Ovis aries: one gene and its partners. The protein of the gene in region 2 interacts with the protein of the main gene of each other region in a pairwise test. Links are inferred from orthologs where the notes say so. Each region holds a gene or a part of one and is shown on either strand. Other genes may lie near its edges. The genes, in order: KPNA2, NUP50 and KPNA6.

Region 1 (9,905 bases), on a different chromosome or scaffold from region 2:
TGACGCTGGCAGTTATCTTTTATCTATTCCAGCACTACTCAAAATCTCTACACCCTAAAAGTTTTGACAGGTAAGAGGCTCATTATGGCCTAAAATATATAATATGTCAATATTAGTACCAACTAATTGTGCTCCTTATACTTTATACTCTCATTTGAAAATCAACTTACCACAATTGGCAATTCAGTAGCTCCTAAAAGCTTCACAAGTTGGGGTACAACCCCAGTTTTCACAACCATTTCAATCCGTTCATTTGGACCATCAGTAAGGTAGGAAATAGCCCAGCAGGTGTCAGCTAATACTTCCGGATCATCGTGATGCAGGAGACGAACTAAAGTAGGAAGAATCTGCTCAATAGCCTCTAAGGGGGGTGCAGGATTCTTGTTGCGGCAAAGATTTGAAAGCGTCCAGGTAAGATTACGTAAGTAACCACACTGGGGGGAAAAGAAACACGCAATGAAGTGGTTTTTTAAGGGGGGTAGGAAAATGAGAATCAGTGAGAAACGTGACTTATGCTAAGTAACTTACTGCTAGAGACGACATATCAGGCACAGCCAGAAGTGCCAAGAGCGGATCAACTGCACCATACTTGATAACCAGGTCTCGGAAAACGGAACCATCACCTTAAAAAAAAAAGAAGGCGGCTGAGTCAACCACTACCACCTGTCTAGTGCCATTAATTTCCGTTACAGAGTACACCAATGTCTTGACGCAACAAACACACTAAGACACGTATGCCAACCTCAGTATGACTGGAGACATTCAGCCAATTTCAAATCCAAGTACCTGCAATGTTTCCCAGAGCCCATACAGCTTGTTCACTGATGTGAGCATGGGGAGATGCCAACAGAGAAATGAATGCTGGGATAGCACCTCCGTCCACCACAGCCTTGGTCTGTTCTGAAGTCCCAGAAGCAATGTTAGTGAGGGCCCAGGCAGATTCGAACTGAATGGGACTACAATCAGTTCTTCCCAAGAAGGACACAAATTTTGGAATCAAACCAGCCCGGATTATGTTGTCAATAGGGGGCTGTTTTTCCCTAGAAAGCAGTTTCCTATGGGTAAGCAAAAAGAGAAACAAAAGTTGAAGGTGATTAACCAAACAGGTTCATACCAGAGGAAAAAAATAAAAACAAAAACACAATTTAAAACGCCAACTCGAGACCAAACAAGTTCATATAAAAAACACAATTTAAAATGCATCTTGCATGAGTACAGCTGTGGTGGATTCATGTCAATGTATGGCAAAACCAATAAAAGTAGAAAAAAATAAATAAATAAAATGCATCTTACACGGGGATGATCCAGAGAGATGATATGGGGTAGGAGGTGGGAGGGGGGTTCAGGATTGGGAACTCATGTACGTCCGTGGCGGATTCATGTCAATGTATGGCAAAACCAATACAGTATTGTAAAGTAAAATTAAGTAAAAATAAAAATTAAAAAAATAAAATAAAATAAAATAAAATGCATCTTAATCCAAGAGTTTAGAACTTTAAGTAACCTTTTACAGTGAAGACTAAATGCTGACATATCCTGGAATTTAAGAGGAGCTGAGCAGACAGACTGTTTGCATGGTGGGGTAGTGTCGTAAACTACTTTTCCCAAAACTGAAATATTACCAATGACGCAGAACCCTTCTCTCTGCAGAAATCTACTCCAGATCTTACCACTTTTTAAAAACTTTGACATACGATACCATCACAGTCCATTAATCCGCATTACTCTGGCCAGTGGTGGGGACACACACGTTTCCCCTGATCTTCTGCCAATTGGACCTGCTTTTCCCCACACTGTGAGGCTACAGAGATCATCAATCCTTATATTATGGATGTCACAGATAGCTGTGTATGGTGGGTGGGAAGAGTCTAATAAATAGAATATATTTATTTCCTAAATGGATGAACCATTCTAAATCAATGTGGTAATCCCAGTTACTGAATAATTCCTCCTTTCCCTGACATTGACTTGAAATGCCAGTGACAAGAAAACATTTCTGAAGTACACTAAAGTTATCACTGGAGGTAGATGTAATTTGAGGCAACTACAGAAAATTTTAGATTAGGAAAGATTATAATGAAAATTGGCCTAGGCCTGGCTTAACCTTTACTCTGCACCACCTGCCATTGCTTTCCCACCAAAAAATGTAAAAAGGCTGATTTCTTAGTTTACTCATGCTACAGAAGACAAGACTTACCTAGCAGCTTGAGTAGCTTGGAGCTGGCTTTCCAAATTGTTGCTATTTATGCCTTTGACAATATCATCAACAGACCAATTTACAGTGCCCTACAAGAACAGGGAAATTAATTTTCAAATTATCATTTTTAAGATTAAATACAATGCAATCCCAACACGAAGACATTTCTGTTTATAATCAGTTACTAAAGTTTAGTCCCACATTTAAATTCGCCTGTTAAATATTCAATATTTAATATATAGAACAATCCTCAAATTAGGTGTCATGACCAAATGATATCTTAAGTGATGGAGTATCCCAGCATCTAGTCACTAAGAAAAGTAGCTGTGAATAGGTTAAAAAAAATGAACTAGAGCACTGCGAAGGTTATTCTTACATTAGTCTCAATCACTTGTATTCAGATATGCTTTTAGGGGAAAAGGGACAGAGTTAGAGGCAATGTGCTGGGAATCTGAAAAGCTAAAGTTGTTATCCATGCATTTCCCCTCCGGTTTATGTGGTATTTATGCACACATAAACATTATAGGTAGTAACTACATATTGGAGTTAACTGCAGCATTTGCGAACCAAGCTACAGTTAACTCAAAAAGACAGTATCACATTCTCCCTAAAACCTTACAACAAGGACAATGTAAAATCTAAACACCACAGAACAAATGATTATATATATAAAACACTGTATATAGCATTATACAGAATTTACTCTTCATTTGTGGTGCAGAATGGGGTGCTGTAGGAATTCTGGGAAGGAAGCATTTTTCCTGTTAGGATGACCTAGAAGTGCTACAAAGAGAAGATGAGATTTGAGTATAAAACTTGAAAAACACAACACAGGTCGAATTCAGGGGGGCGGGGGGGGGGGGGGGGGGGGGAGAACACTGATAAAATGAGGAGAACTGAAGGAAAGCATAATGTGGGGGGAAAAAGCAGGAAACTGCCCAATATTTTTAAAAGATGAAAGATAAATTTAAAAATGTAGGATGGGGTTTCCCTGGTGGCTCAGCTGGTAAAGAATCCAGCTGCAATATGGGCGACCTGGGTTCAATCCCTGGGTTGGGAAGATCCCCGGAGAAGAGCATGACTACCCACTAGAGTATTCTGGCTTCCATGGACTGTATCGTCCATGCGGTCGCAAAGAGTTGGACACAACTGAGCAACTTTCCCTGACTTCTGATAAAATCACGAAGTCTCCATGAGTAGAACTCTAGGATGGGTCTAATTTCCAAAAAACCTTTTAAAAAGGATTTAGAATCATAAAATTTCTAAGATGTTTTAAGCAGTATTTTAAGAAAACTTTTAGGTAAACAGTAAGTGGCACAGAAAGAAAATCAAGAGACAGCTGAGGAAAAAGACCTGAAAAAAGCTGGTGACAACTACAAAAAAAAGAGAGGGAGGGAGGAAGGGAAAGGGAGAGAAAGAAAAAAAAAGGCAGGAAAAAAAAAAAGTTGGTTCTGGACATACTTTCACTGAACACTTGAATGGCCAACTCAAAGTAAAAGCTGGCAACTGGAAAAGCAGGGAAACTTGAAGGGGAGATCAGAGCTAAAGACAACCTTGGAATCAGCTTCCACAGATTACAGAGGATGGGCGGGGGGAAGATAATCCATCAGAATTACTGAACAGGAGCACACAAAGACAGATCTTCACATTTGATAGTTAAAACCCACAAAGCTAAGACATGTTATTTAAATATCTCAGAAAGGCCTCATATTGATTTTCTGGGTTTACCATAACTCATAAACTAAAATATCCTCACCTGGTTGTTGCGGTTTTCCTGCAGTGGAGAAGTAGCATCATCAGGAAAAGAGCTGACATTTCTCCTTTTCAGCATCTGGTCATCCTTCTTAGCTTTCCTTAGCTCCACATTCACTTCTATTCGGCGCCGCCTCATTTCCTTGAGAAAAGATAACGTATCATCTCACCTATTACATCAGTGTTAGGTGCCAAGTGAAGACAACTTTTTAAATTCACTCAAAGTGTGGACGCTCTTTCCAAATACCTTACCATTTAAAAAATACTAGAAAAACAACAGAAGGTACTCACTGTACTGTCTTTCCCCTTGTTCTTGAATCTGTGAAGGCGGGGAGCTGGTGAATTAGCATTCTCATTGGTGGACATGATTATGAGACAAAGGGAGAAAGCTGCAAGATAGGGGAGAGAAAAAAATTTCCTTTTTATCACTTTGTTTGGCAATAACATAGCATTAAGGGAATTATCAAATACACGTTCAATCCGTATTTCCATACTAGAGGAGGAACTTCCTTTTTCAGCACTATGGAACATGAGTTTTGGCCAAATTATATTTGGCCCCTCCCCTCTGAAGGGCTGAGGCTTCCAGGAGCAGTGCTGTCCATCAGAAATATAATGCAAGCTGTATAAATTTAAGCTTCCTAGTAGCCACGATTGTTAAAAGCAAAAAGGAACAAATGAAATTAACTTCAATAATATATTTTATTTACTCCAATATCTATTTTCTCACTTCAACACATTACATCAAAAAAATTACTGAACTATTTTGCATTCTTTTTTCATACTAATTCTTCGAGATCTTGCAGGTACTTTAAGCTTACAGCATTAACTCAGTTTAGACTAGCCACACGCCTTTGGTGACTATCACACTGCACAGCATGGCTCTAGACTCTATATAGGATCCATGAATAGTTAACTGAAGACAACGTACGGGATATAAGGTTACAGTTAAAATCTATGTCGTACGGGCCACAAATTCAGATCTGGAGGCTCTGCTGCTGCTGCTAGGTCGCTTCAGTCGTGTCCGATTCTGTGCGACCCCATAGACGGCAGCCCACCAGGCTCCCCCGTCCCTGCGATTCTCCAGGCAAGAACACTGGAGTGGGTTGCCATTTCCTTCTCCAATGCATGAAAGTGAAAGTGAAGTCGCCCAGTCATGTCCGACTCTCAGCGACCCCATGGACTGCAGCCCACCAGGCTACTCCGTCCATGGTATTTTCCAGGCAGGAGTACTGAAGTGGGGTGCCATTGCCTTCTCCGAGGCTCTACTGGCTTTAAACGGCCCAAACAGATACATTCTGCACGTTTGAAAATATTTAAAAATCTGATTCGTCGTTAACATTATGTAAACTTTCATAAAATTTCCTGCCCACCCTGAACACCTGCGACGCAGTTCAGCATCTCGCACGTTTTCATTTCCAGAAATTCTGAGTGAATGCACTAAATTAGGCTCTATCAGCTGCGTTCCACTCAAACTCACCTACTTAAGAGCAATCTCCCAAAAAAATCACAAAAGTCCTCCTTCAAAGTGGCTATCTTTAATTCCATTCTGTTCTTTTACGAAATCGTGACACAGCCAACCCAGGGCCTACAAATTAAGAGATAGCACTTCCAACTGCCACCTCCATCTGCAGTCCCCTCCCCTACCCCCTTCCCCACCCCCATTTCGGGGAAGCAGCAGCGGGAACCCGCGGAGGAGGAGCCAGAGGCGTCGGGCCCCCTACCGAGGCTTTCGTTCTCGGGCCTGACTCTAATAATTCTTACTCAAAGGCGATTGCAGCGGTTCGCAAGGCCTCGGGCACTAAAGCCCATGCACTCGCATCCACAGTGAAACACCCGTTTCGTCAACGAACTACGCCCCCAAGGCCTCATCGACCAGAGAGGCCGAAGCCTGGCCGGGCGTCTACCCCGGGACTCCCCTCCCGCCTCCAGCAATCCAAGAGCGGCCTAAGGACCAGCCTTTGTCGCTCCACCTGCACTGCGACCTCAGTTCGTTACCTACACAGCAAGCTCAAGCGTCCACCGGAGGCTGTGCGCGGCGCACAAGCTGCGGGATCTACTGCCTCCAAACGTCTACCACGGTCAGCCCGAGGACGGTGTGGCTCGTGCAGCCGGCCGGCGCGATTTAAATTTCCCGGTGGCTCCGCATTCCGATTGGCTGGTTCGAGCTTACGCTATACGCCCATTGGTGGATTTGAAAAACACGTTAGCTGGGGAGGGGTCAGAGGGCCCAGAAGTAGATAGGATAGCATCGCGAGATAAGGGAGCGGCCGCGCGATCCCTGAGAGCCTTGCAGTGCGGAGAAGAAAAACTCCAGATCCCGGCATGCAGCGCGCAGGGCCGGTTCCCTGTCCATCTTGGTCGGAGGGTCAGCTCTTTGCATGGGTTTACCGCGGTGTGGTGGCTGGTCGTTTTCCTGAGTGTTTGCCTTAACTAAGTACCACAAATGATTCCCAAAATAATTCTCTTTAAAAATCTTAATAAAGAAATATATTGCTATGCATTTTTCCCGATGGGACTCAGAAAGAACTTTGCCGGGGTCTCTGGACATCAAGCAGGGGAGGGATAAGGCAGATATGTGCTGCATTTGTTAGTTACTGTTTTTAACTTGTGTCATAAAAGACTGCATAGAAGGCAGAACTATGTTAACAAAAGCTTTATTAATGCCTGCTTCTCCAGTCTTATTTTTAATAATTTGAAATACAAAAGAACTGCAAATCTTTATCCATATTTGTTAAATGTTAATTTACTATTTTGATGTGTATGTATATATATATGTATACACACATGCACGTGTACCTCTATTTATATATACATGGCTTTTACATATTACTTTTTGAACCATTTGAGAGTAAGTTTGAGAAATCTTGTCCGTTTACCCCTAAATATTTCAGCTTGTATGTTGTAAGAATAAGGACATTCTGTTATATTACCACACCATAATCATCAAATTCAAGACAATTGAACTTATATGCGATTATTTATTCTGTGTTCAGATCATCAATTGTTATAGTAATGATCTATGCTATATTTTATATATTTCAAATAAAATGTTTGCATTTTCTTGTAATTTAAAAAAAGCTTCAGTGATAGTCATCAGAACCTCAGGATTATGGTCCACTTTCTTTTCGCAGCTTTTCTGTATCCTGAGAAGGGTATTTTTAAGAAAAGCTGTATTGGCTTTTTCTTTTTTTACTATGATTCAAACAATGAACTTTGTCCCTCCTGCAGGCATTTTTGCCAGCCTCACTCATTGTGTAACAGTAATGAGAGTCATGGAGGTTCCTTCTACTTCCACATAACCAATCAGGATAATCTTACCCCCCCTAAATGCACAAGGTTGTGGGATTTCACCTCTAAACCAGTCACTACATGGTATTCTCCAGGCTACTGTGAATGGTTCAGGGGCAGTCATGTGACCTAAATTCATTCAGTTGAGAAGCCGGATACCTTTTGTTTAATGATGAGAGGTAGGAAAGCAGGCTCTGTTCTCAACTGAGAGATGTGAATCCTGGAAATCCAGTAAGACAATTGGAGAGAAATCATGAAAACTTTGATCAATACCCTACCTTACTTCAAAAGGCTGCAATTATATGACTTTGCAAATACATCATCCAGTACACTTCCTTTGTTGTTTAAGCTAGTTATAGTGTGTCTTCTTTTGCTTACGAATACATATTGGGTACTATGTGCCCAGAAGTGTTCCAAGTTTTTTATCTTTGTGAATACATTTAATCTTCACAACTCTGTGAGGTAGCATTATTATCTGCTCCATTTCACGGAAGAGAAGAGTGGGTGGTTAAGTAACTTGTCCACATGCACACAGGAGTAAATGGCAGAGACAGGACTCAAACCCAGGCCCTGTCCTTCCAGGATCCATGCTCTCTGACCACTATTCCGTACTTGCACCTGAGAACAACCTGAAACAGAAGTAAACTGTCAACAGTGAAAGTTGCCTTTGACAGATGCCTTGCCTGGGAAAACACAGACCCCACCCACTCAAACCTTCCTATTGTAGTTGGGATGGAGATTCAGGAGAGGGCCTAGTGTAGCCTAAACCAATCCCATTCCATCCCCCAGACACAGGAATTGCTTTGCTGATGAAGATGTAACAGAATACAGTAAAATATTTACTGAGACTTTTGTGAGATATCCCCTCTCTTCCAATGGACTGTGTGCTATGATGATGTGAGCCTGAGAAGGAAGCTGAACCAGAGAGGCAAACTCAAGTGTGGCCAAGTCTGAATAATCATAGTCTGTCAGCCATTCTTTCAAGTAAGAACTGTGTTCCATCGAAAAGGCAACGAGTTTAGCCTATAACTCAAACACTGCACAGAATGTTTCCCCAAGAGACACTCACTGAATTTTGGTTATCTGGTAGAAGTGATTTATGCATAATTCCCATTTTGTCACATAAAATCTTAAAAACATGTATTCAAGGGTTGGGATTTAAATTAATAATTCTTATAGTGTCACCTCTTCCAACAACACAAGAGAAGGCTCTACACATGGTCAATACCGAAATCAGATTGATTATATTCTTTGCAGCCAAAGATGGAGAAGCTCTATACAGTCAGCAAAAACAAGACCAGGAGCTGACTGTGGCTCAGATCATGAACTCCTTATTGCCAAACTCAGACTTAAATTGAAGAAAGTAGGGAAAACCACTAGACCATTCAGATATGACCTAAATCAAATCCCTTACGATTATACAGTGGAAGTGAGAAATAGATTCAGGGGATTAGATATGATAGAGTGCCTGAAGAACTATGGACAGAGGTTCGTGACATTGTACAGACGGCAGGGATAAAGACCATCCCCAAGAAAAAGAAATGCGAAAAGGCAAAATGGTTGTTTGAGGAGGCCTTATAAATAGCTGTGAAAAGAAGAGAAGCTAAAGGCAAAGGAGAAAAGGAGAGATATACCAATTTGAATGCAGAGTTACAAGAATAGCAAGGAGAGATAAGAAAGCCTTCCTCAGTGATCGGTGCAAAGAAATAGAAGAAAACAATAGAATGGGAAAGACTAAAGATCTCTTCAAGAAAATTAGAGATACCAAGGAAACATTCCATGCAAAGATGGGCACAATAAAGGACAGAAATGGCATGGACCTAACAGAAGCAGAAGATATTAAGAAGAGGTGGCAAGAATACACAGAAGAACTCTACAAAAAAGATCTTCATGACCCAGATAACCACGATGGTGTGATCACTCACCTAGAGCCAGACAACCTGGAATGTGGTCAAGTGGGCCTTGATGCTTCCTAGAAGCATCACTACGAACAAAGCTAGTGAAGGTGATGGAACTCCAGTTGAGCTATTTCAAATACTAAAAGATGATGCTATGAAAGTGCTGCACTCAATATGCCAGCAAATTTGAAAAACTCAGCAGTGACCCCAGGACTGGAAAAGGTCAGTTGTCGTTCCAATACCAAAGAATGATCAAATTACCACACAATTGTACTCATCTCACATGCTAGTGAAGAAATGTTCAGAATTCTCCAAGCCAGGCTTCAGCAATATGTGAACTGCGAACTTCCAGATGTTCAAGCTGGATTTAGAAAAGGCAGAGGAACCAGAGATTAAATTGCCAACATCTGCTTCCTCGGCTCCTGTTCTCCTCAGTGGTTAACTTAAGGCTGAGAGACTTGTAGCAACTGCTGCCTCTAAGGAGAACAGCCATCACATCCATGGCAGGGATTTTGCGCTCAATAGTTCGGAGGCCCCCAGGGAGACTACAAACGGCAACAAAAGGTGTGGAACCTCTTGTTTGTACAGACTGGATTCGTCACAAATTTACGAGGTCAAGAATTCCAGATGAAGTTTTTTGGCCTTCACCTGAAGATCATGAAAAATACGGTGGGGATCCACAGCAGCCTCATAAACTGCATATTGTTACCAGAATAAAAAGTGCAAAAAGACGTCCATATTGGGAGAAAGATATAATAAAGATGCTTGGG
Region 2 (9,905 bases):
GCTTTACTTCACCCCTTCTTTTACCTTAGAGGAATGGTATAAAATATTTGCTGTAAAAAGTTCTCTTCTATACTTATTTCAGATAAACTTTGGAATCTCTGAACCCACAGAAGCGATCATCTGACTACACCTGACTCAAATGTAATGTCCTTCCACCCACATTTCATTAGAATCTATCCAAATGGAAGTTCTTTCATTTCTGAAATATTTTAATGTCAAAACAAATCATTATGTGGTAGGCCTGGAATGTGACTATAGCCTAAAACGTGGAAAAAACTTAGTTACCAAAGACGTGCTTAAAAAGTACCAAGTCAGTCAAAATTGTTAAAAACACTTCTTTATAAGCCCATACTTGTGTTTTGGTTTCCCTAAAAATATTAGTACACATATTTGTAAAGGAAAAATATTAGTACTAGAAAACAGATTAAAAAAGAAAGAAAACAGCAGTCTAAGAATTATCTTGGAAATGCTTCTGCAAACTATATGTATATTTTTTAACTTAGCACACTTCTTTTAACTTGAAAGGCTAACTTGGTTCAGGCTTGGTCAGTGAACTGGCCTGGGAAAATCAAACTGCTGATGAGCCATTTCAGAAATGCAGCTGTGTTTTATTCTTTTTAAGAGAAAAATTAAAAGGTTTCCTCAGGGAAGACCATTTTTATTAGGAAAGAAACTAGGCCATCTAAATTCTATTCCTGTTAACCCAGTTAGGGGTGGAGAGTGTCTCAGATCTTTAATATGAAATAAAACAGGACTCCCAGAAGCAGTACAGTAAGGGAGGCAACCTCAATCTTCTAAAATCTAAAACTGTGAGTATGGCAAACTAAGACACTGGTGGTAAAACACTTTTCAAATTTACTTTATAACTAGATTATTTACTCAGCCTTCAATCTGGACTAAAACCATGGGCTGAGTGTGCGCAACGAAATGCTATATGAAATTCAGGAGGAAGGTGATTCTACAAAGGAGTAGAGTATTGAAGGAATAGTCGCTAATCGAAAAGCACACCCTTTAATTTCTACACTAAGCACAGATCATAAGAAACCGTATTATTTCCAGTTCAGTTCCGTTCAGACGCTCAGGCATGTCTGACTCAGCGACCCCATGAATCGCAGCACACCAGGCCTCCCTGTTCGTCACCAACTCCCGGAGTCCACCCAAACCCATATCCATTGAGTCAGTGTTGCCATCCAACCATCTCATCCTCTGTCGTCCCCTTCTCCTCCTGCCCCCAATCTTTCCCAGCATCAGGGTCTTTTCCAATGAGTCAGCTCTTTGCATCAGGTGGCCTAGGTACTGGAGTTTCAGCTTCAACATCAGGATGCTCTTGAAAAGGCCTTTTATTTTTACGACAAAGTCTTCACGAGGAATCACAAAACAAATTTAAATTTGGAAGTAGCAGGAAATCATTCTTAGGGAAAGCACTTTTTACCTCTTCTGCTTCATCTTCTTGATCCCAATTCCTATCTGTCAATTCCTTCTCGGCGATTCTTTTGGCCATTTTTTTGAACCTAAAGGTAAAAAGATTAGAAGTAGTAAGCTTTTGTTGTTGTTAAGTCGCTCAGTCATGTCCAACTCTTTGCAACCTTTTGGACAATAGCCCGCCAGTCTCCTCTGTCCTTAGGATTTACCAGGCAAGAATACAGGAGAGGGTTGCCATTTCCTTCTCTAGGGGATCTCCCCAGTCTAGGGATTAAACCCACGTCTCCTGCACTGGCAAGCGGGTTCTTTACCAATGAGCCACCAACGCACCCAGTAGTAAGTCTGCTTTTCTAAAACATGATTTAACTCTTACAACAAATTTTTAAAATTTACTTTAGCATGAAATGAGATATTCCTGATACCAGTAGGCACTTCTTTAACGAGAATGGTATAACATTGTTAGGCTCCCAGTGTCACAAATCCAACAAAAATTACAGGAGAAGGCAGCGAGGTCTTCTAAGGCACAGTGAAAAACAATAAAACAACTCCATTTGAAAAAATGCTGATCATACACTGATTTTTAAAAATCAGAAATCTACAGAACTGCATAATAAACAACAAATGCTCAATTAACTCCATGCAAATTACATTTATACACAGCCTGGCTATAGGCAAGATATTTTTAATATTTAAAATTCTCTTAAGGATATTTAGTAAAGTTTGACCTTAGTCAAGAATGTGAATGAGTTATTATTTTCACTACAAGAGTACAGATGGTCCCTGACTTCAAGGGTTCATCTTGCAAGTTTTCAAGTTTATGATAGTGGAAAAGCAACACTCGTTAGGTAGAAACCTTCCTTTAGATTTTGACTTTTTCTCAGGCCAGCAACATAAGGTATGATATTTTCCTGTGATCCTGGGCAGTGGCAACAAGCCACAGCTCCCAGCCAGCTAGCCAAGCCACCACACCACGGATATACTTACAACCATTCTGTACCCATATAACTATTCTGATTTTCATTTTCAGTATAGTATTCAAAAAATTATGAGATACTCAACATTACTATAAAACAGTCTTTGTGTCAGTTGATTCTGCCCAACAGTAGGCTAATGTCTGAGCACTTTTAAGGTAGGCTGGGCTATGATCTTCAGTAGGTTTGATCGACTTACAGTACTTTCAACTTACCATGGGTTTATTGTGACATAATCCCAACATATGTTGAGGACAGTTCAAAATATGATTAACATGACTGTGTTAACATTCTTAGAATTCTTAATTCTTCACTAACAAGCCACCAGCAGCAGAAACCAACATAACATTGTAAAGCAATTGGCATCCAATTAAAAAATAAATTTAAAACAAACAAAAAAATCCCCAAAAAAGAATAAGAAGCCATCAGCTCAACTTCTATTCAAGGCTTGTTGTTGTTTAGTCGCTAAGCTGTGTCCGACTCCATGTATTCACACCTTAAAATTTCCAGTTTATTTTCTGATCCTAAGATGTGTATCTGTTGCTATTAAAATCTGAAACAATCAATGGAGAGCTCCACTGTGAGTGTTGTGCTTGGCTCTTCCCTAACATCAATTAAATGGGCCAAAAAACTCCTTACCTTGCCCAGAGATTTACTGATTAGCCTGGAACACTAGCCAGGGTTCTTGAAAACCAGCCTAGCTTCCTTCCTAGTCCTTCCCCACTCTTATTTGCCCTCAAGACCACAACCCACCAGAGAAGTTCCTAGAAGCTCCTGGTCATTAAGATACAAACTGACACATCACCCATGGGGCACAGTATGATCTGTAACATAAAATTCAAATGCAAGCATTCCAAAGTCCTCCAAAATCCTATCCCCTGGTAGGATAATCACATAGCAATTTTCAGCTTTTAATAATCTCCTAATAATCTCTGAATTTTTCTTTTACCAAGTGCTTTTTTTCTGATTACAGAATAAATGGCTTTAAAGTCCCAGATTCTAAAACGTGAGAATTAACATAATTTTGTCATTACTTGCAAATCTTTTTTAATGCCTCCATTCCAAACACTCGGTCAAGTTTTGCTATTAATCTTGTCATCCAGAAAACAAACAAGGTACCCTTCCGCATAAATTCTTAGTAAACTTTAACTGTTCAGAGGCCAGGCCTCTGTGTGGGTTCTTTCGGGCCATTTTCCCATTCAGTAACTAACACCTCCACCAGAGGGCAGAAGAGGGGAGAAACTTAAATAGTCTATTTTTGCTATTAACTTGATAACCTAACTAGTTATTAACAGGCAAAAAGGAGTGGAGCTGAAAGTGCAAAAACTTTTAAGTGTTAAAACTATTAACACCTAACCCATAGCCACAACTGAAGACAACCGGCATAGTCAAAGAACCTAAATTAACACAGCCAATTCATTTCCTATTCCATATTTATCCAATCTCCATTTTTATCAAATCAAAGAATAACCAGAGGGCAGGTATCTTTGTTTCACTCACTCAGGTACCTCAAAACCCGCCCCCCTCCACAATAGACGATCTAGAATCAGAGATCTGGGACACTGCAAAATTGAGAAAACTACAAAATGTTAGCATCCAGTTTTGCCATGGTGTTGTTGAAGACCTTGGGCAAATTATTTCATTTTTGTGCCTCCATTTCTTTACTTCACAACAGGGAGGTGCTGTGAAATTTATAAACAAAAAGCTTAGCTTAGAGGAGTGGCTGGAACCGAGGTAGGACTCAATATATCTTTTCAAAGAGAAAAGCTCTGTCAGAAACAAAGGCTCTAAAATACCTTCCCTCCCTAACTTGAAGGTTGCAGTGTGGAAAAACAAAATTAACTTGAATTATGAACCGGGCTCTAAACAAGACTTTACCAAATCCATGTTTTATTTCAAAGCATGGTACTTCAGACAATCACATTTCTTTGAAAAAGGGGAAAAGTGCCGGTAACGTACTTAGAACAAAGCCTGGCACCTCCAGTCTTTCAGTGTTAAGATCTAAGAACGTAAAAAAAAAAAAATGTGGGCTTGTGGTTTAGGAGGCACCAAATCATGACATGATTACTGGGTATGAGGCATACCTCGGGACAGGAAAATCGAAAACTTTCGGTAACTGGGGAAACTTCATGCGTGCCTGCTCAGGGAATTCTGTGATCTCTGCCACCGCGGGCTGCCCCACCTTGGGGTGACTTCGGTCCACGTCGGTCTACTCTAAGACGGGAACAGATTGGAACATACTTGACACCGTGATCCCCGGAGGAAAAATGGAACCTGGGGCCGGCCCCCGGAGACTGAAACGCTCGGGGAAAACGGAATCCTCGAACATTGCTTCTTAATCGAACGGAGTCAAGTGATCAGGGGCCTGTGGCTGCAGTACAGGAGGAGGGTGGTGGAAGGAGCGCAGCGAGACGAGCACCGGAAAGAAGCGCGAGGGAACACACCGAGCCAGGACGGCCCCTCGCCTCTCCGGCTCCCGCCTCCGCCGGGGCCGCAGGGGCCCCGCGCCCGGGCCCGGCCGTCCCCAAGTCGGACACCGCAGCCCCGACAGGCCGGCCCCGAGCCCGGCCTCACAAACACCCCGCCGGGGTGCGTCGCGGCCGACACCGCGCCCCACCCTCCTCCGCTCCCTCGAGCGCCGCGTCCCCAGCCGGCGCCCCGCACCGCGCTCCACCCTCCTCGGGCTCCTCGTTTCAGGCCCGGGTCCGGCACCCGGAGCCCGGCTTCCTTCTCTTAGACCCGGCGCCCGCCCCTTCCGTGCCGCCCAGTCGGCCCGCCCCTCACCTCTCCGGTGGCTGCGGCGGCCCTCGCTGGGTTGCGGGCGCGGCGAAGCCGGGGTGCGCAGCGGCGAGCAGGTGCGAGGTGGCGGCCGCGGCACTCGGGTCTGAAGCGGCGCGCGGTCGTTTCTGGTGTGCTGAGAGCCTCGAAGGATTCGGTGATCGGCAACCCCTGAGTCTCAAACAGCATGTCCTTCGGGGTTGGGGGGCTCTCGTTTCTCTGCGTTGAGCAGTGAGGGGAGGTAAGCCGTCCGTTCAGCAGGAGACGGCTGAGAGAACAGGGCCCCACACACCTCAGGCCGCCATTTTGTAACTCGAATCGAGCCCTCCCGATCAATTCGAAAAAAAAAAGGGAGGAAAGAAACGCCCGCGTCCAGCTACTGCGCAAGCGCGCCGGAGCCTCGGTTGGCAGCACTACCCACGGCAGCGGCCGGGCCTCTCGCAGCGCATGCGCCCAACTGCTTTGGAAAAAAACCGTCGCCGAAGGCGCGTTCCCCGTCTTTCGCATGCGCGCGCGCAAGCGCACAACCCACGCTCTGGCTCCGGCAGGAAGTCCGCCCCGGGGGGCGGGGCTTGTGCGCGTCGGCCGCGTGTGGGCGCCGTCCGCGTTGGAGGCGGTCGCGCGCGGTTGGCTGCTGGTTGTGGGCGCGGCCGGGGTTCCGGAGGCGCGTGGGAGAGCGGAGGCTGTAGGGGCGCGTGGCGGGCGCTCGTGGTGTGCGGGTGGGATGCTGGAGCTCGGAGAAGGGAGCGGTCGTGTCCCCCGGAGGCTTGAGTGAACTCGGGTAGCGTCACTTCGGGAGCTCGGTGCCTCAGCCGTGGACGAGAGCTGCCCCACGTGCCTGCGTCGCGCCGGCCGCGGATGCTCGGAAGGTCTGGGACTCGCGGAGCCCGGGAGGGAAGGTCGCGGGCGTGGACGAGAGAAGCGGACGTCCTCTGTTCCGCGGCCAGCTTGTATTTCCTTTCCGCGGTGGGTGCCATAGAGGCGAAGGGACTTGCCGTTTTGCACCGCTAGTCGGTATCAACGAAGATGACGTCTGCAAACGCGTTTTTTTAAACTGTGGGACAGATACGACTGTCCAGGGTCAAGAGGTGTATTCGTATGCTTTTGCCTGAGTAGTGCGGTACCATGTACAGTAATGAAGTGAAAGTCGCTCAGTCGTATCCAACTCTTTGCGACCCCATGGACGATAGAGTCCAGAAATCGAAATGGGTCTCCTGCGTTGCAGGCGGATACTTTACCAACAGACCCCAGAGACGACAGCGCACCAAGCTCCTCTGTCCCTGGGATTCTCCAAGCGAGAATAGTGGAGTGGGTTGCCATTACCTTCTCCAAACAGAGCTGTGAGAGAATGAATAAATTTGTACAAAGCAATTTAAACGCTCCTTGCCTTACAGTTAATAGGTCGCTATGGGAATTAGATCCGTTACTAGTCAGCAAAAATTGCTTCAGAAAAGGAACGTTCTTATGAACCATGGTTCTTAACCTTATTTTTTCCTCCAGGCAGGGTTTATGATTTACTTGTGTGAAATACCGGCTTCCTTGGTAGCTCAGCTGGCAAAGAATCTGCCTGCAATGAGGGAGACCCCAGTTGGATTCTGGAGTTGGGAAGATCCCCTAGAGAAGGGATAGGCTACTCACTCCACTATTCTTGGCCTTTCCTGGTGACTCAGCTTTTAAAGAATCTGCCTGCAGTGCTGGAGACCAGGCTTCCATCCCTGGGTTGGGAACATCCTCTGGAGAAGGGAAAGGCTACCCACTCCAGTATTCTGGCCTGGAGAATTCTAGGGGAATCGCAGAGAGTTGGACACGAAATGTGTGAAATGAAAACATCTCCTGCGTTATTAATAAACAAGAAGTATAAGAAACAAAGTGAATGAGGAAACAGGATTGGTTCCAGATGGCTGAGGTGCTTATGAAGGGAGTGAATTCAGTGATACCTGGTCTTTGATGTTCAGACTTGCCTGCTCCTTTTGTTGCAAACTTGTGTATAGCCTGACTTTCCCTCCTGCCTCTTGGGAGCAGTTGTCTGAGAGCTATTGAGATGCTGTCTCCTGGGCTGGGAGTCCGAAACATCCCACCAAATAAAATAACTGTCTGCTTTCAGGGTGTGGCTATATGTTTTAGTCCACACTTGAAAGCGCAAAGAAAGTTAGCATGCGTTCACGCAGAATCAAGAGGTGGGAACGTTCTTGGCGGCCACTGAGGAAGTCTTGAAGAATAGAGCCGTGAAGAAAGCAAAGCTGTAGAAATGTTGGGTTTGAATTGAAGTGTTTTCTTACAGTTTCTGGTACTAAACACTAATATGATTTCTGAGTTGTAGAGTATTTCCACCTCTGGGAGCAATCAGATCAATAAATGCTTTTAAAAAAATTGTCCTTTTATGTAATCTATCAAGAATGCTTTTTAAATGTATGCATAGTTCCCTGTGCTATACAGTAAGTCCTTAGTTGGTTATTTTGTGTATAGCAGTGCTGTGTATATGTTAATCACAAACTCCTAATTTATGCCCCACCCCCACATCTCCCCTTCCTAACCCTGGTTTGTTTCCTATGTCTGTGAGTCTATTTCTGTTTTGTAAGAAGTTAATTTGTATCACTTTTTTAGATTCCGTATATAAGCAATATCATATTTGTCTTTAGCTGGCTTACCTCAGTAGGATAATTTCTAGGTCCATCCATGTTGCTGCACATGGCATCCGTTCCTTTTTATGGCTGAGTAATACTCCATGGTGTGTGTGTGTGTGTGTGTGTGTGTGTGTGTGTGTACACCACATCTTGATCTATGTCGTCCCTAGTGGCTCAGCAGTAAAGAATTCACCTGCAATGCTGGAGATGTGGACTCTGTCCCTGGGTTGGAAAGATCCCTTGGAGAAGGAAATGGCAACCCACTCCAGTATACTTGTCTGGAAAAATCCGAGGAACCGAGGAGCCTGGCAGGCTACAGTCCATAAGGTTGCAAAGAGTTGCACATTGAGCACGCAAGAACATCATCATGTAGGGAACCAATCTGCATATAATTTCAGGATGTTTATGAACCATTCCTGAAAGCCTATTCATGGACTGGTGTGTAAAGACTGCTTATCTAGATACAAGGATTACACGTTCAGTTCAGTTGCTCAGTCGTGTCTGACTCTGTGACCCCATGGACTGCAGCACACCAGGCTTCCCCGTCCATCACCAGCTACCAGACTTCACTCAAACTCGTCCATTGAGTTGATGATGCCATCCAACCATCTTATCCTCTGTCATCCCCTTCTCCTCCTGCCTTCAGTCTTTCCCAGCATCAGGATCTTTTCCAATGAGTCAGTTCTTCACATCAGGTGGCCAAAGTATGGAGTTTCAGCTTCAGCATCAGTCCTTCCAATGATGGACTGGTTGGATCTCCTTGCTGTCCAAGGGACTCTCAAGAGTCTTCAACACCACAGTTCAAAAACATCAATTCCTTGGTGCTCAGCTTTCTTTATAGTCCAAGTCTCACATCCATACATGACTACTGGAAAAACCATAGCCTGGACTAGACGGACCTTTGTTGGCAAAGAAATATCTCTGCTTTTTAATATGCTGTCTAGGTTGGTCAACTTTTCTTGCAAGGAGCAAGCGTCTTACTTTCATGGCTGCAGTCACCACCTGCAGTGATTTTGGAGCTCCAAACAACAAAGTCTCACTGTTTCCACTGTTTCCTCATCTATTTGCCATGAAGTGATGACCACATGTCATGATCTTAGTTTTCTGAATGTTGAGTTTTAAGCCAACTTTTTCACTCTCTATCACCAAGGAGCTCTTTGGTTCTTTACTTTCTTCCATAAAGGTGGTGTCATCTGCATATCTGAGGTTATTGATATTTCTCCCGGCAATCTCAATTCCAGCTTGTGCTTCATCCAGTCCAGCATTTCTCATATGTACTCTGCGTATATGTTAAATAAGCAGGGTAACAATATACAGCCTTGATGTACTCCTTTCCCTATTTGGAACCAGTCTGTTGTTCCATGTCCAGTTCTAACTGTTGCTTCCTTACCTGCATACAGATTTCTCAAGAGGGAGGTCAGGTGATTTGGTATTCCCATCTCTTTCAGAATTTTCCACAGTTTATTGTGATCCACACAGTCAAAGGCTTTGGCATAGTCAATAAAGCAGAAATAGATGTTTTTATGGAACTCGCTTTTTCAATGATCCAGCGGATGTTGGCAATTTGATCTCTGGTTCCTCTGCCTTTTCTAAATCCAGCTTGAACATCTGGAAGTTCATGGTTCACATACTGCTGAAGCCTGGCTTGGAGAATTTTGAGCATTACTTTGCTAGCGTGTGAGATGTGTGCAATTGTGTGATAGTTTGAGAATTCTTTGGCATTAACCTTTCTTTGGGATTGGAATGAAAACTGACCTTTTCCAGTCCTGTGGCCACTGCTGAGTTTTCCAAATTTGCTGGCATATTGAGTGCAGCATTTACACAGCATCATCTTTTAGGATTTGAAATAGCTCAACTGGAGTTTCATCACCTCTATTAGCTTTGTTCGTAGTGATGCTTCCTAAATCTCGCCTGACTTTGCATTCCAGAATGTCTGTCTCTAGGTGAGTGAGCACACCATCGTGATTATCTGGGTCATGAAGATCTTTTTTGTACAGTTCTTCCGTGTATTGTTTCCACCTCTTCTTAATATCTTCTGCTTCTGTTAGGTCCATACCATTTCTGTCCTTTGTCGAGCCCATCTTTGCATGACATGTTGCCTTGCTAGCTC
Region 3 (9,905 bases), on a different chromosome or scaffold from region 2:
GAGAAAAGCCTACATGCAGCAACAAAGACCCACCATAGCCAAAAACAAACATAAGTAAGTAAATCTTAAATATATTTCTGCCTTCCCCTAAAAGACAAATTGATTACTCTCTTAAGTACTAATGAAGTGACTAACAGCAATTAGTTATCATTTACTGAGTACTCATGGTGTGCTAAACACCATGCTAAAATGCTTTACAAGCATTTGCTCATTTAATCACCTTAACACTCCTATGAGGCAGATATTATCATCATCCCTATTTTAAGAGATGAAGAAAATAAAGCTCTGGAGATTAAGCAACTGGCTAAAGTTCTAATGGAATTACAGAATGAAACAGCTATAACACAAGATAAAACATGAAAAGGACTATATGAAAGGCAAGAACAAAGTGCTACAGAATTCACAAGAATAGTTCACTTCCAGTTTGAAAGGCATAAGGTACATATTTTGGAAAGGTCCCTGAGGGAGGTAGCCTTTAAACCAGATCTTGTAAAAGGGGCAAGATTTCCATAGGAAAAGACGGGCGGGGAAGGGATTGCTTTTGTCACTTTCTCTACCAGGAAAGCTGAAATACACACCTAGGAGGTCGCCTGAGTGGAATGAAGCATATGTGGATAAATATTAAATGGAGTCAGTAGGAAGGCCTTCAATACCACACCCTATGAGTTATGATTTTATCCTGCAGACAATAAGGAGTCCATGAACGTTCCTAAATTAAGGAGTAGGGTGACAAGATCTGATGGTTTTAGCAATACTGCTGCAGCAGAAGTGGTTGTGGTACAGGTTACAGAAGAGATTTAGAAAGTTTCTGAAATAATGACACCTTTACAACCTACAGTATTTTCTAACATCTAGTATTGATACTTCACTGACACTTCATTAACAACATTAACAGTATTATTATATTTTCACATCAAGGAGCTTGAGACTCAGCAAGTTTAACGACCACAGAATTAATCGTCTTTTTGGGACTATGCTCTGAGAAAAACGTACACAAAACAATTTAGGGATGACGGAGGACATCAGTAAGAGGATCATAGTATCCAACAACTGCCAATATAGGAAAGGCAGAAAAGAGTAAGGAACCAGTCTTACCAAGGGTAAGATTTCTCTTATGCCCTAGTGTCTAGACCAATGGTCTGACCATTAACAAAAAATGCAGGAAAGGGACCCCACGCGGGAGTGAGTCTGAGGCTGGGGAACACTTAGTTTAGCGCCTTCTCTGTTGTTATTAGGAACTATGGGGTGGGTGGGGAGGCAAGGCTGGAAGGAATGTTCTAGATTACTTCCTGACCTGCAGGGGTTATTAGAAAGGTTTTGCAAACTAGAGGCAACCTTCAGTATCCTACAGGCCAATGGCAGTGACAGTTCCAAAACATCACAAAGAGATCAGATTCTTTCCGTCTGGACCCTTTATTTATAAATTCTGCCTCATGAATTCCCAGCATTGCGAATGGCAATTTCAAGAGTCAGAAAAGGGCTCCTTTCTTTCCAGAGGCAGAACACAGTCCTTAATAGCCCATATTTTGGTTAGAACCATACTGCCTGAGGAAGTGATTCTTCTGTTTACTAGCTCTGACCTTGCATTAGTTATTGAACCTCTTTGTGCTTCAGTTTTCTCAACTAGAATGAGAATCTGAGAAATAAATGAACTAGTATTACAGTACTTAGTGCCTAGCATATAGAAAGTTCTATACAAGTAATGACTATTACTATAGCTTTCCCATTTCTTTTTAAGTTCTCAAACTTTGGTGAGATACCTGGGTTAAAATATAAACTGGCAAAAAGGAATAAAATTTGGCAAATAAGAAAGGCTTTTTCAGAAGTCCTCCAGGCTTCCCTTCACATCTAATCAGCCAAAATCTGTATCACCTGCCTATGCCTAAATCAATCACTGTCTAGAGAGATAGAATTATGATTGATTTAGAGTTTATATCAATCAAGACTAGTGGGCTATATCAATCATCCCGGGGCTGGGAAGGTGCTGCCAGATTCCTGGTTAGCAGGATGGTGAAAGTGAAAGTGAAGTCGCTCAGTCGTGTCCGACTCTTTGCAATCCGTGGACTGTAGCCCACCAAGCTCCTCCGTCCATGGGATTCTCCAGGCAAGAATACTGGAGTGGGTTGTCATTTTCTTCTCCAGGGGATCTTCCCGACCCAGGGATTGAACCCAGGTCTCCCACATTGTAGGCAGACGCTTTAACTTCTGCACCACTGGGGAAGCAGGATGGTAGGAACCTGATAAAAACAATCAATGTCTGCCGAGACTTAGTCTTGAGAGTCTGCGGTCTCTGCTAAGGAGGGTTAAAACAAATAACTTCCAGAGCTGCAAGCATCACCCCTACAAAACTCCTAATAGCAATGAAATAACGACAAAGGTCTGTTAAGGCTAGTGAAGTCTGGCACAGAAGAAACAGTATAGTATAGGCCATAGCCTGAGGAGAGTATGCTGGTCAGGCAGTGAAGTACGGCAGGGTCTAGACATGGAGGTGTGAGGCTGGCTGTGTTAGTGTCCCCAGCCCTAGGGCTTAGATCACCAGCCTTGGACTAAACACCAAATCTTCTCAAAGCCTGTTTACTCTTTTTTTTTAAAATTTTTGTTTTTACTTTATTTTACTTTACAATACTGTATTGGTTTTGCCATACATTGACATGAATCCTGAGGATAACCAAAACCACCTTCCCAGGTGGTGCTAGTGGTAAGAACCTGCCTGCCAATGCAGGAAACATTAAGAGATGCAGGTTTGATTCCTGCATCTGAAAGATCCCCTGGAACAGGGCATGGCGACCTACTCCAGTATTTGTGCCTGGAGAATCCCCATGGACAGAGAAGCCAGGCAGGGCTACAGTCCATAAGATTGCAAAGAGTCAGACACAACTGAAGTGACTGAGCACGCACACAAAACCATCTTGAATTTGATGTTAGGATTAAATGTAAGGATGCATTTCACTCTGTGGTATAAGGATCAGAAAACAAAAACAACCAACCCACACATAACAAAACAATAATCCACAAAACCCACACAAAACATCACCACCAACAGCTAAGTATTCAGAAAGACAAAGTGCAAGGTGGGATGGGGTGGGGGGAGGGGCCTGAAGTGGGGTTGCAGAGAAAAAGGGGAAGCTACTTGACTTTAGACTAAAAGTCCCCTTCAGGACCCTGGTCAGGTTTTGCTGCTCTATTGAAGAACTTCCATTTCAAAGTGTATCAGAAAAGGACTAACGTGATTCTACTTAGAGGTTTCTCTGCAGCAAAATGGGTAAGAATCTCACTTCTGGATTTGCTGTAACTAGTGTGTTCTATTCTCTGAAGTGGTTTCCCAATCTGTAAAAATTGAGTAAATCATGGCCAAATTTACTTCACTGGGCTTAATAAACTAAATATTAGCTCCTTCCCTGTTGAGGCAGCAATGTTGCTGAAACTGAAGGCCAACACAAAATCTATAACATAAAAAAGTCCCTAAGATTTTTCATTCATTCATGAAGTTGCAGTTATTTGTAACTGCAAATAACAGGCCTATCAGCCTTAATGAAGGATTCTGGAAACTAGAGTGCTTAAAAGAAAGGAACAGACACAGAAGGTGAAAAAGAATCTGTTTTGATATTTGTAGAGCTCTTGTGCCTGTGTGCTCAGTCTTGTCCAACCCTTTGTGGCCCCATGGACTGTAACCTACCAGGCTTCTCTGTCCATGGGATTTCCAGGTAAGAATACTGCAGTGGGGTGCTATTTCCTTCTCCAGATCTTCCTGACCCAGGGATTGAACCCAGGTCTCCTGTGCTTCCTGCACTGCAGGCAGATTCTTCATCTACTGGGGTAAGCCACTGGGGAAGCCCTACTAGTCTCCAGACAATGTGGAATCTCATTTAATTCTTAAACACCTGGGTAACACTGTCCCCTCCCCCTCTCTAGAGAAGAGGAAAGGAAGGCTCAGAAAGGAAGGAAAATAACATTTATTTTGAACTGTGCTAGATGTTTTCCATATGCATTACTGCATTTGACACTTAAGTGACTTCTCTGGATGAGAGCTAGGAAGTAGTAGGCAGGATTATAGTACCAGATCTGATTCTAAACTCATTGTTGTTCAGCTCAAGGGAATAATTTATGTTTCCTCAGGATCAGGGATCTTACAAAACTCAATCTTAGAATCTCATTTAGCTCCCCTCCCCCAAAACACCCATAATAGTTGGGGTTAGCAATTCACCTTGGAGTTGTTCAGTTTCTTTCAGATTAAAGATTTCAAAGCAGGCCCAGTAGCAAACAAAAACAAAACACCTTTACAACTCTTGCCTAGGATTAAAAGCTTTCTTTCCCTCTTTTCCAGCCCAACCACTAGAGGGCCAGGCCACAAAAAAAAGCAGCTATAAACTAGAGCTCTGGAGCGATCCACCTGGTTTAAGCCACTTACTGTGTGACCTTGCCTAAGTTACTTTACCTCCCTAAGCCTCAGTTTCCTTATCTGGGATAACAGTATTATCTCAATAGATGGTGCAAATTAAATAAAACGTGACATGTAAAGCAATCAGAACAATGCCTGCACAACAGGAAGAGCTTAGCAAATTTAACAGCTTTTATTGCTGGAGAAGAAGTACCACTGGTGGGTCTGTCCCTAAGTCCAAAGACTTCGCCATCGTAATCTCTCTGAGCATTGCCTTTGCTGATTGGAGTCCCTTTAATAAGAGCAACAGGTCGCTCCTTTTCTGCTAATCAGGGCCAGGCCTAGAAACCTAAAGTCCCCGACCTATACATGACTACGAGGTATTGGCATTGTTTTTCTACCACTATGAGGGCTGTCACTCTGAACCCAGCCGAACCACCCCATTTCCGCCTCGGCTCGGGAAGTTCTCCAGGCCTTCAGCGGCCCAAGCTGCTTTTGGCATGGCTGCCCCTGGTTATCAGGCCTAGAGCCGGATCGCCTGGCGTACCTTCGCCAGAGGACTTTCTCTCTCAGACGTAGGCAGGATTTCCCTAAGTTCAGGGGAGTCAGTGAATCCAGTTAATAGGCACGTCGGTCAGACACACGCCTGGAGAGGGCTCCCTCAGCGTCGTTCGGGCCTGCCACCCGGAGCCCGGCCCCCAAGCCCAGGCCCGGCACAGACCAGAAGGTCGGCCCCTTTCTAGCCTCCGGGAACGCGTGCGATCCGGCCCAGGGCCACCACGTGGGGGTTCCAGAAGTGACAAGGTATTCCCGGAACCAACCCCCAAAGACTGCTCCCCGCATGGGCCCTAACCCGGCCCCAAACTGGCCTGAGCGGCGCTCCCGGCCTGGCTTTTCCCCTCAAATCTATTTGGAGGAGATTCAGACATCCTCTACAGCCTGGAGATAGGCTCTCGCCAGACTCCAAGCTCCGAGACTGTCTCAGCCCGAATCCCCAATTGCCTGGTTTCCTTACTCACCCATCGCGGCTCCGCTCGCTTCTACTTGGCGGCGGTAGCGGCGGCAGCCTCAGCCGCAGCTTCAGCAGACAATATGGCGGATCTGCAGGACGGCAGCCCGGAATGGACAAACAACTTAACATTCAATACCGGGAAGAAACGCGCTTTCGGCCCCAGCCTCTAGTTCACACAGACGAGCTCGTTTAAAGAGACCGCAGCTGCTAGAGGCGGGGAACTGGGATGAGATATGAAAGCAGTGGGTGGAGGAAAACTGGGAGGGACACCTACTAAATAAAGTTAAGCTGCTTAAGATTTCTCAGCTTCTTCTACTATTCCTGTTTGTAGTGAGTTGTCCTCCCCTGGAAACTTTTTCTTCCAAAAAGGCATTCCTTCCTTTTGTATTAATAGTTAAAACCACGCATAGACCCTGGACTGGATATGAATAAGGAGTTATCCGGCAAGGTAAAGTGACTTGCCCAAGGATATAGAGATAAGGAAATGAAGAAATCTAAAGTAAACCTGATTACAATCCTATTGAGAGATAAGTAGAAAAATGACACTGGTGCCAGGCTTTATAGTTGACAGAGCGCTTCATTTATCCCTACTGCAAGCTCTCTGAGGGCAGAGGGTCGGTTCTATACCCTTTATTACTGCTCTTCAGCACCTAGCACAGTATATGGGATAGTGTATGTGCTCCATAAATATTTATTAAATGAATAAACAGATGAATGAACAGATCTGTGAGTTACACAAAACAAGGAATATGATCTCCTTATTTTGAGATGAGAAAATTGAGACTCTGAGGTTCAAGTGTCTTTTGCTGTTGTTGTTGGCTGCACCCTGTGGCATGTGGGATCTTAGTTCCCTGACCAGGGATCGAGCCCTCATCCCCTGTAGTGGGGAGCCTGTAATCTTAACCACTGAACCACCAGGGAAGTTCCTTATGTGCCTTTTGAATCGTGAAATTTATAGCTGGTGCACATTAGACCTCCCTTTTTACATAATTGCATTCCGGTCCGCCTATTCCCCATCTCAACACACAGAGGAAGGCTATGTCTTTGTCATGGATCCCAAGAAGAACTATCTTTTGGGAGCCGAGGTCCTGTCACAATAAATTGCCATCTCTAATTGTGTACCCAGCCCATTGACGGAAGCAACTCAAAACGCCAGTTCTAGGATTCGGGGTCAGGAAAGGGAACCTTCTCTTCCTCTTCCTACTGCCACTGCTCAAGGTCAGACCCCTTTGTTCTCTGCTGGTCTGTTTTACCTGTCTCCACACTGGTCTCCTGTGTCCAGGTTCTCCCACTTGCTCCATTTGGCTATGGTGAGTCTTAGTTGTGGCACTTGGGATCTTTAGTTGTATGCGGAATCTAGTTCCCTGACCAGGGATCGAACCCAGGCCCCCTTCATTGGGAGCTGAGAGTCTTAGCTACTGGACCACCAGGGAATTCTCTGCACCGACTCCCTGCCCCCATCTCTTTAAAAGCAAAGACCTTATCATGTTAGGCTGGTCCTTACTGGCTTCTTGGGCAACTCCCCACCAGGCAATCCAGGCTCCATCCATATTTGGGAAACCACATTTTCCCATGTATGCTCCTATCTTCTTTTGTGCCTTTCCATACGCTTTTTAAAAAGTATTTTTGTTTATTTTTGGCTGTGCTGGGTCTTCCTTGCTGGGTGTCGGCTTTGGTTATGACAAGCAGGGGCTACTCTTTGTTATGGTGCGTGGGCTTATCATTGGAATGGCTTCTCCTGTTTTGGAGCACCAGCTCAAGGGCCACGGGCTTAGTTGCTCCAAGGCACGTGGCATCTTCCCCGACCAGGGATCGAGCCCACGTCCCTGCATTTTCAGACAGGGTCAGCCTATGTCCTCTCTGCTCCCTCTTGCCCTGGACACACATTTTCCTCAGCACTTGGCACCCTAAGTTGTTCACGAGGTGTCTCTCTCTCCTGGTTGTCTATGGAAGAGACTGTATCTTCCTCATCTCTGTCTCTGTCCCAGTGCCTGGCACAATGCCTGACTCAACAAAAGCACCAAAAACATTTGCTGCAGTGTCTGTCTTCTATGCACCACCAAGGGAGCGCCAGTATAACTTGTGGCAGAACAAGGACTCAGGGGACATGCTCAGACTAGATGAGTGTCTATAACTGTGTCTCTTCTCCTGCCAACCCCTGAGCCCTCCATCCTGTGGTCCACGGAGCCAGGAGGGCTTCCAAGCAGCTTCATTTCCATTCTTGCCCTTGGCCTTGCTCACATCCCCTCCCTTGTTGTTCAGTTCCTAAGTCTTATCCGACTCTTTGGGACCCCATGGACTGTAGCACGCCGGCTTTCCCCGTCCTTCGCTGTCTCCAAGTTTGCTCAGATTCATGACCATTGAGTCAGTGATACCATCTAACCATCTCATCCTATCACCCCCTTCTTCTGCTGCCTTCAATCTTTCCCAGCATCAGGGTCTTTTCCAATTAGTTGGCTCTTTGTATCAAGTGGCCAAAGTATTGCAGCATCAGCTTCAGTCCTAATGAATATTCATGGCTGATTTCCTTTAGGATTGACTGCCTTGATCTCCCTAGCCTACAGCCATTGAGCCTCCCTGATCCAGTCCCTGCAGACCTTTCCAGCTCCAATCCACCTCTGCCCCACTTTCCTTATCTTTCCTGTTCTAGGAACCACATTCTGCTTACCCTCCCTGGATACACCAGAATGTTCCAAATCTCTTTGCTACTGCTCTGCTTGAAGCACCTTTTCCTCCTCTTGTCCCCCTGTGAAGTGGCTGATACAACTCAGACTGACCCCTCCTCCAAGAAGCCCAGAGAGCATTCAGTGTTCTCTCCCATGAGCCATTCTGTACCTTGTAACTGTTATAATCACCTGCGTGTATTGACATGTTTGTTTCTGTGTCTTGGCATCTTCACCATCTACCGTGGTACCTGGCACGGAGCAGGGTCTCAGTGACTGTGTGCTGAGAATCAGGACATCACATCAGGATAGCAGTGTCATCTTTCAGAGGGTTTTGGGGCCCAGCTCCACTACTTCCTAGCTGTGTTACCTTGGGCAAGTCACTGTAGCTCCCTAAGCTTGTGTTTTTCTTCTATAGGAGTGACAGCACCTACCTCCTAGGGTTGTCATAAAAATGGGATTAAGGACAGCCCTGTACTACATGGAGGGCAGCCTCTGGCATACAGCAGCTACCGCTGCTACCTTGATCTCTGGTGTTTCCTCATCCTTTCTCCACTGGAGAAGGCTGCACACGTGGGGCTTGCTGGCCCAGAATCCCACACCTCTGCTTGCTGCCTGACAGGCAAGAGGGGAAAGAAATACAAGACACAGGCTTATTGGGAGTATAAAAATAGGAATTTTTTCCTCATAATCACATCAATTATCAAAGAAAGAAACAGTATGTAACAAAAATACAAAGCTCTGGTGGATTTTTTTTGTTTTTGTTTTTGCCCCTCACCCATCCCTCCCATACAGCTACTTCCCAGGGAGCCCCTGGCTGAAGCCTGAATGCTGTCCCTGGGTCGTCCTGGGGCTCAGGAGAACCGGTGGTCTAGGTCCCTCTGGGAGTTGGCCGAGTACGAGTAGGCCTTGCCCAATACCAGGCGGTCCCGCAGCAGCTTGAAGAAGGCGTAGTAGTTGCTGAAGAGGATTAGCGCCAGTGAGATGGTCTGGTGCCACTTGTCGGAGGACATTAAGGAGTATAGCTGGTAGACGATGACTGCGCCCTCCAGCAGCAAAAGGATGTTCAGGATCCGCAGGGGTTTGCTGAAAAAGAACTACCCAGGAAGAGAGTAGGCATGGACTGGAAAGTAGGCTCCAGAAATCTGCCTCTTGGATGGGGGTTCTGGGTGGCCAATGAAGGGGTCAAACTCTTGGGGCCCCATGCAGACTTGGGTGGGGAGTCGGACTTCATGGGGTTGGGTATGGACCTTGTCACCTATCTGCCTTTATTTGTGGGCCACTGCCTCCCTGGGACTTCTCGGTGGCCCACTGGTTAAAACTCCACCTTCCAATGCAGGGGGCGTGGGTTTGATCTGTAGTCAGAGAACTAAGGTCCCACATTCCGTGGGTACAGCTAAAAAAAAAAAAAAGATGACTACTGCTTCCGACATAGTTGTTTAAGATCCTGATCAACTTCTACCTTTTCTCAGAACCTTTTCTTGAGAGGTCTGGCTTGTCCTATCAAACTTTTTCTGGTTGAAAAGCAGTATGTGACCTTCTGGGTACTGTCAGGCCTGAACAATGTAGCATTTTATGACAGAGACATGTAAAGTTATTATAGACTCCACAGCCTGAGTCCTTTACTACAGCGTGTGCAGCATTCCTCAGCTAGGCCAGAAGCTTCCAGGGAACATGGGCACATATCACTCTTACCTGACGTGCACAGGGCAAGGTAGAATACAGAGGACTAAGAAAAACTTTCTGATCAATTTGAAAGAATGATCAACATCCAGGGATCATGATTCTGCAGGGGCCAAGGTACCTACACCTCAAGAGCTAATGACAGGATGGGAGGAGGAGTGGCAAGGAA

What was found.
Region 1: the proteins of NUP50 (region 2) and KPNA2 interact in binary tests that used the Homo sapiens proteins (3 or more experiments, as listed by UniProt). The two-hybrid records come from large-scale screens. The link is inferred for Ovis aries from reciprocal best matches to the Homo sapiens genes NUP50 and KPNA2.
Region 3: the proteins of NUP50 (region 2) and KPNA6 interact in binary tests that used the Homo sapiens proteins (3 or more experiments, as listed by UniProt). The two-hybrid records come from large-scale screens. The link is inferred for Ovis aries from reciprocal best matches to the Homo sapiens genes NUP50 and KPNA6.

The regions. Positions count from the first base shown.
Region 1 is NC_056064.1:48,650,469-48,660,373, forward strand, and holds the start of KPNA2 (importin subunit alpha-1), read right to left. Parts: upstream 6,047-9,905; 5' UTR 5,945-6,046; intron 4,339-5,944; 5' UTR 4,316-4,338; coding exon 4,241-4,315; intron 4,092-4,240; coding exon 3,954-4,091; intron 2,287-3,953; coding exon 2,198-2,286; intron 1,056-2,197; coding exon 787-1,055; intron 624-786; coding exon 529-623; intron 435-528; coding exon 171-434; intron 1-170. Other genes in the region: large ribosomal subunit protein uL30m-like, read left to right, coding at 9,636-9,905.
Region 2 is NC_056056.1:221,478,609-221,488,513, reverse strand, and holds the start of NUP50 (nuclear pore complex protein Nup50), read right to left. Parts: upstream 5,492-9,905; 5' UTR 5,178-5,491; intron 4,608-5,177; 5' UTR 4,525-4,607; coding exon 4,478-4,524; intron 1,512-4,477; coding exon 1,433-1,511; intron 1-1,432. UniProt on the Homo sapiens protein: Component of the nuclear pore complex that has a direct role in nuclear protein import. Actively displaces NLSs from importin-alpha, and facilitates disassembly of the importin-alpha:beta-cargo complex and importin recycling.
Region 3 is NC_056055.1:235,400,469-235,410,373, forward strand, and holds the start of KPNA6 (importin subunit alpha-7), read right to left. Parts: upstream 5,482-9,905; 5' UTR 5,402-5,481; coding exon of another isoform or gene 5,398-5,401; intron 1-5,397. Other genes in the region: TMEM39B (transmembrane protein 39B), read right to left, coding at 8,908-9,150. UniProt on the Homo sapiens protein: Functions in nuclear protein import as an adapter protein for nuclear receptor KPNB1. Binds specifically and directly to substrates containing either a simple or bipartite NLS motif.